Saccharomyces cerevisiae S288C: one gene and its partner. Changing the gene in region 1 together with any one later gene gives a genetic interaction. Each region holds a gene or a part of one and is shown in the gene's direction. Other genes may lie near its edges.

What was found. A genetic interaction does not mean that the proteins touch.
Region 2: mutations in SCS7 (region 1) and COG5 together harm fitness more than expected from each alone (negative genetic interaction), as found in Saccharomyces cerevisiae (5 studies listed by BioGRID).

Annotation. Positions count from the first base shown.
Region 1 is NC_001145.3:808,963-812,344, reverse strand, and holds SCS7 (fatty acid alpha-hydroxylase), read left to right. Parts: upstream 1-1,567; coding exon 1,568-2,722; downstream 2,723-3,382. Other genes in the region: ZDS1 (Zds1p), read left to right, coding at 1-1,112; YMR272W-B (uncharacterized protein), read right to left, coding at 1,149-1,256. UniProt on the Saccharomyces cerevisiae protein: Ceramide hydroxylase involved in the hydroxylation of sphingolipid-associated very long chain fatty acids. Postulated to hydroxylate the very long chain fatty acid of dihydroceramides and phytoceramides at C-2.
Region 2 is NC_001146.8:531,036-534,418, forward strand, and holds COG5 (Golgi transport complex subunit COG5), read left to right. Parts: upstream 1-1,623; coding exon 1,624-2,835; downstream 2,836-3,383. Other genes in the region: tyrosine/serine/threonine protein phosphatase MSG5, read left to right, coding at 1-376; COX5A (cytochrome c oxidase subunit Va), read left to right, coding at 690-1,151; YNL050C (uncharacterized protein), read right to left, coding at 3,044-3,383. UniProt on the Saccharomyces cerevisiae protein: Acts as a component of the peripheral membrane COG complex that is involved in intra-Golgi protein trafficking.

The DNA of each region.
Region 1 (3,382 bases):
CTCTATTTAATGGCGGTGAGAAGACGGAGGTGTCAAATAAAGAAGAAATGAACAATTCAAGTACTTCCACCGCCACATCACAGACAAGACAGAAAATCGAGAAAACTTTTGCGAACCTATTCAGAAGAAAGCCACACCACAAGCATGATGCATCATCATCACCCTCGTCGTCACCATCATCGTCACCATCAATACCAAATAACGATGCCGTGCACGTTCGCGTGAGGAAAAGCAAAAAGCTTGGTAACAAAAGTGGAAGGGAGCCGGTTGAACCCATTGTGTTGCGCAATCGCCCTCGTCCTCACCGTCACCATCACAGCCGTCATGGTTCCCAAAAAATAAGCGTAAAAACCCTTAAAGATTCTCAGCCGCAGCAGCAGATACCATTACAACCACAATTGGAAGGCGCAATAGAGATAGAAAAGAAAGAGGAAAGCGATTCCGAGAGCTTGCCCCAACTACAGCCGGCCGTTAGTGTAAGTAGTACCAAAAGTAACTCTAGAGACAGAGAAGAAGAGGAGGCAAAGAAAAAGAACAAGAAGAGGAGCAATACGACAGAAATTTCCAACCAACAACACTCCAAACACGTCCAAAAGGAGAATACCGATGAGCAAAAAGCTCAACTACAAGCTCCAGCTCAAGAACAAGTCCAAACTTCAGTCCCAGTTCAAGCTTCAGCCCCAGTCCAAAATTCAGCCCCAGTCCAAACTTCAGCCCCAGTTGAAGCTTCAGCTCAAACTCAGGCTCCAGCGGCACCACCATTGAAACATACCTCCATATTGCCCCCAAGAAAGCTTACATTTGCAGACGTCAAAAAACCTGACAAACCAAACTCCCCGGTTCAATTCACAGACAGTGCCTTTGGGTTCCCACTGCCTTTGCTGACAGTGTCTACGGTTATCATGTTCGACCACCGTCTACCAATTAACGTCGAAAGGGCCATATACCGGCTGAGTCACTTGAAATTGAGCAATTCGAAGAGGGGACTGCGCGAGCAGGTATTACTAAGTAACTTCATGTATGCTTATCTGAACTTGGTTAATCACACTCTGTACATGGAGCAGGTAGCCCACGACAAAGAACAACAACAACAACAACAACAACAACCCTGAAAAGGCTTCAGCGCTGCATACATAGACATATACACATCACACGTACATACACGAAAAGATAGCTTTCATGCTCACAAAGCTACGTTCCCCACAGAATATTTCCCAGGACAACAGGGAAAGTTGGACAAACACCAAACTTCTCATAATACAATAGCCGAAAACAGTCTTGCTTTTGATAAAGAGAGCTTTCTGCGGCCGGAAGAAAATGTGCCTATTCCGCGGGGCCGTTCCGCGCAGAAACTACCGCACGACGTCGGAAATATAACGGGGTTTTGCGCGGATTTACTGACGTGTGACATCTTTTCGCAGTTAATTTTTTTTTCAATTTGGAACCGTATAAGAACAGAGGTATTAGATAGTAGAAGCTATTGTGTCTATTGTCTTTGATTAGTTTTTTTTTCTATTGTTATCGTGGCAGGCACTAAAAGCGGTGGTAAGCTAAAACTAGTACGAAGATGTCGACTAATACTTCCAAGACTTTGGAACTGTTTTCAAAAAAGACGGTACAAGAACACAATACTGCCAATGACTGCTGGGTCACTTATCAAAACAGAAAGATTTATGACGTGACCAGGTTTTTGAGCGAACACCCTGGTGGTGACGAGTCCATCTTGGACTATGCTGGTAAGGACATTACTGAGATCATGAAAGACTCAGATGTGCATGAACACAGCGACTCCGCGTATGAAATCCTTGAGGACGAATATTTGATTGGTTACTTGGCAACTGACGAAGAGGCAGCGAGATTGTTGACTAACAAGAACCATAAGGTTGAAGTGCAGTTGTCAGCTGACGGTACTGAGTTTGACTCCACTACTTTTGTAAAGGAGTTGCCCGCCGAGGAGAAACTAAGTATTGCTACGGACTACAGTAACGACTACAAAAAGCATAAATTTTTGGATCTGAACCGTCCTTTGCTGATGCAGATTCTGCGTAGTGATTTCAAGAAAGATTTTTACGTTGACCAAATCCATAGACCAAGACATTACGGTAAGGGGTCTGCCCCGCTATTTGGTAATTTCTTGGAACCATTAACTAAAACAGCTTGGTGGGTTGTTCCAGTTGCTTGGTTGCCTGTAGTTGTGTACCACATGGGTGTTGCTTTGAAGAACATGAACCAGCTATTTGCATGTTTCTTGTTCTGTGTCGGTGTCTTTGTTTGGACTTTGATTGAATACGGTCTTCACCGTTTCCTATTTCATTTCGATGATTGGTTACCTGAAAGTAACATCGCATTCGCCACACATTTTCTACTACATGGTTGCCATCATTACTTGCCCATGGACAAGTACCGTTTAGTTATGCCACCTACTCTGTTCGTCATCCTTTGTGCTCCATTTTACAAGTTGGTATTTGCTCTGCTGCCACTTTATTGGGCTTACGCTGGTTTTGCTGGCGGTCTTTTCGGTTATGTCTGTTATGACGAATGTCATTTCTTCTTGCACCACTCTAAATTGCCTCCCTTCATGCGTAAGTTGAAAAAATATCACCTGGAACATCATTATAAAAACTACCAACTGGGATTTGGCGTCACATCCTGGTTTTGGGACGAAGTTTTTGGCACCTACTTAGGCCCCGATGCCCCATTGTCCAAAATGAAATATGAATAATTATTGGTCAGCCTCGTCCAAAATTGTCAACCTAGGAAAAACAACATTACGAGCAATGAAATCTTGAGCAAAGTTCTTTTCTGCGACATATTTATTTCAAATCTTTATTTATATTATTATATGTAACTACGTATATATACATACACATGGAATGGAATCATAGATGAAATCGATGAACAAGCACGTTATTTCTTAAACGAATATCCAATCGATGACGACTATACGAAAAAGCGGCCTCAAAAAAGAACCGAATTGACAGGTACATTTTTCTTTCACAGATCAGGTTGGCAAAAAAATACTAACCGTATCCTGTGTTACTGTCGTTAGAACAGGAATCAAGATGAGCACAGTGAAGTTATCTGATAGTCCCTAGACTCTCATTGACTTTTTGTAATATTAGGACACAGAATATACTAAGGGTTCTTCTCGAGAATAAATGAACACATAAGCAAATCAGAAATTCTACATACTATAAGAGTACCTCATACCTAATCATTTCTTAATCCATTCCGTTATCAGTAATTGCATTCGAGGTTCCATTAAACTGGTGCCGACATTTATATAGTTATATTGGTCCAATGATCTTATCATCCTCCACACCGTATACAACTATATCTTAGTAAACAACGGCTAGTAAGTGAAACGATGGTCCATTTTAGG
Region 2 (3,383 bases), on another chromosome or scaffold:
ACTTATGGAATGGGGAACCATGTTGTCCAAGAACTCACCGGGCGAAGAAGGAGAGACTGTTCACATGCCTGAGGAAGATGACATCGGAAACAACGAAGTTTCCTCGACTACGAAGTCCTACTCTTCTGCGTCCTTTAGAAGTTTTCCCATGGTAACGAATCTATCATCGTCGCCGAATGACAGTTCTGTCAATTCTTCGGAAGTAACGCCAAGAACTCCTGCTACGTTGACTGGAGCAAGGACCGCACTGGCCACAGAACGCGGGGAAGATGATGAGCACTGTAAAAGTTTGTCTCAACCCGCAGATTCACTGGAAGCTTCTGTGGACAACGAATCAATATCTACTGCCCCGGAACAGATGATGTTTCTTCCTTAAGGGACAGCATCTCCCAAAAGAATCTTTATGACTATCAGATCTGCAGGCAGACCGCCTCCCTACGCTTCTAAATAGAATGTACTTAGCACTTCTGCCTACATAGTAATTATTCATCATTGTAAGTGTCACATTGCAAAAATCGTCCAATAGACGTTTTCCTCGTTTGTGATTGGCCCTACGTTTTGCGCCGATACAAGCGGCGGCGAAAAGTTAAAAAGAACAATCAATTAAATAAGAACCATCAGTCCTCGTATTTTGTCTTCTGTTTGCAAGCAATGCACCAAACACAAGATCAACTAAGAACGCATCTACAATGTTACGTAACACTTTTACTAGAGCTGGTGGACTATCACGTATTACATCCGTAAGATTCGCTCAAACACATGCTCTTTCCAACGCTGCTGTAATGGATCTGCAATCCAGATGGGAGAACATGCCCTCCACTGAGCAGCAGGATATTGTCAGTAAGTTGAGTGAACGTCAAAAATTACCATGGGCACAGCTTACTGAGCCTGAAAAGCAAGCTGTGTGGTACATTTCTTACGGAGAATGGGGCCCAAGAAGACCTGTATTGAATAAGGGTGATTCCAGTTTTATTGCCAAAGGTGTTGCTGCAGGCCTACTATTTTCAGTGGGACTTTTTGCTGTCGTCAGGATGGCGGGTGGCCAAGACGCAAAGACCATGAATAAGGAGTGGCAGCTAAAGAGTGACGAATATTTGAAGTCGAAGAATGCTAATCCTTGGGGTGGTTATTCTCAGGTCCAATCTAAATGAACAGGCCAGAAATTTTGAAAGGAAATCAATAGGGGTTAACGATTGTCATGGTTTTTTCAGCTAGTCTGTGACCTGTACGAAAGTGAATATCTTATTACATTATAAGTGTATCCATGGGCATCCGCCCAATACAATGCCAACATATCAAACATAAAATTGGCTGATTGCCACTCTCACATTTTTTCTTTATTTATTTACTCAAATTTTGTAATTTTTTGTTAGACATATAATTTTATATCATTATTCTTATTATTCTTATATTTAAGGGAACCCCCCTGGAATGAAATAAGCTAATATAGTATGAGGGAATCCTGTATAAATGGGTTTACCTTGTTATTCTATGCCTCCCTTTCAAAGACGTATTTCTTAAAAACTTCTCCATTTGGTTGAATACTATGAAAAAAAAAAAATCAACTAGAATAGATATGGAAGATAAAAATGTGTAACAAAAAAGAAGAAAAGAGCTGGAGGTATGACAATAGCGCCAATGGCAAACGATTTAGAAGATTTTGAGTCTCTGCTGGAGCCTGATTTTGATGCTAAACAATTTGGTAATGACTTACTGAAGGCTACTAATAACAATGACACAACCATTTTAGACCTTAACACGCCTCTTAAAAAGCTAAACTATGATCTACATGAGATTGACTCTAGAATAGACCAATTGATGAATAGCAACCCATTGGAGATAATAGAGTTAATTTACAAAAATGAACACGTCAATTCAACCATAGTTGGTGAGTTGAAACCAAGTTTGGGATATATGAATATGTCGTACGATAGACTAAAGAATCAAGTTCTAGATCCTTATGAAAGAGCGAGGAAAGTCCAACTAGCGTTGAGTAAAGTTTACCAAACATCTTTTCTCTTGCGCGGAGCATTGCTTTATATTCATTTATCAAACAAATTAAACGCACTGTCTAAAACAGCCCAACTAAGCACATCAACAGCTATTAATTTAGCCTCCTTACACTACCAACTTGAAATTACTTTGGAAGAAAATAAAAATCTAAAATCCTTGCGGAAAATTAAACAATTAGATCAGGACATTGTTTCCCCCAACAAAAGAGAGTTAATAACATTTTTGTCTTTACAAATGTGTAAAGAGTGCTTGAACTCTATTAAAATCAAATCGAACAAAGAAATAATATCTCAGCTGGCCTACTCCTTATATCTACTTTCATCTCAAGAATTCGAGTCTGCAATAAACAAGATTGTACTATCTAATGTTACAATGAGCTCACAAATCCTATCAAAAATTTTAAATTCTATCAGGATGTTTCCTGATGCGTTCAATGAAGTTGTTGAAAAAGGTTATAACATCTACATTTTAGAAACACTACTACAGAACATCAAAACGGATAATGTTACGAATTCCTCGAGATCTATTGCTGCTAATAAATCACGCCTTGGCAATCTTTTATCAGAATATACCTCAATGAAGAGTAAAGCAGGTTCTGGTACACCGAGAGATCTGTTTTGGAGCAAAGTTTCATCTGCCTTCAAAAAGGACTTTGATATATCTGTTAATAGAGGAGGCCCTGTGGGCAAGTCGCTGTTAAAAAATAAAGATTTTATTATAAACACTATGAAGCAAAGTATGAAAAAATCTTCTGATAATAGTGATTACCAAAGCTACTTGGATGTAATGCTAAACTCAGTATCTATTTCTCTAAATAAGTGAGACAGTTTACATAAAATTAAGAATGTTGATGAAATAGGATGAATCTAAAGCAATTTTCAATAGCATGTGCATATGTTTAATAAAAATTACATGAAATGTAATATTTGTTTATATTATTAAAGATTATACTAGTAATAGTTATTATGAGAAATCCAATATCGGTTAGTTTATATGAAGTATTAATATGTATATATATACATTTACGTGGTCATTCTGTCCTAAACTTAGGGGTACTGCCAGCTTTTGCCAGTGGGTTCAAAGGTACCTTTTTTTTGTTTTTCTTTCCACCACGCTTATGAAACTTTTTCTTCAACTGTTTCTTTATCTCACGAGCTTTGGTATCACGCTCCTTGGTTCTTTCAAGTGCCAGTTTTTTGGCTGCACGTTGCTTTTGACCAGGTCTCCTCTTTTTAATCTTCAATTCCTTCTGCTGCTCTAACTCTATTCTCGCATTGTGCTTATACAGATCTATTATTCGACCCTGGCAATATGGCCATTTATCACGAATACGTAGATCATCCTCCAGAATTTTTGTACTTTCTTGTATT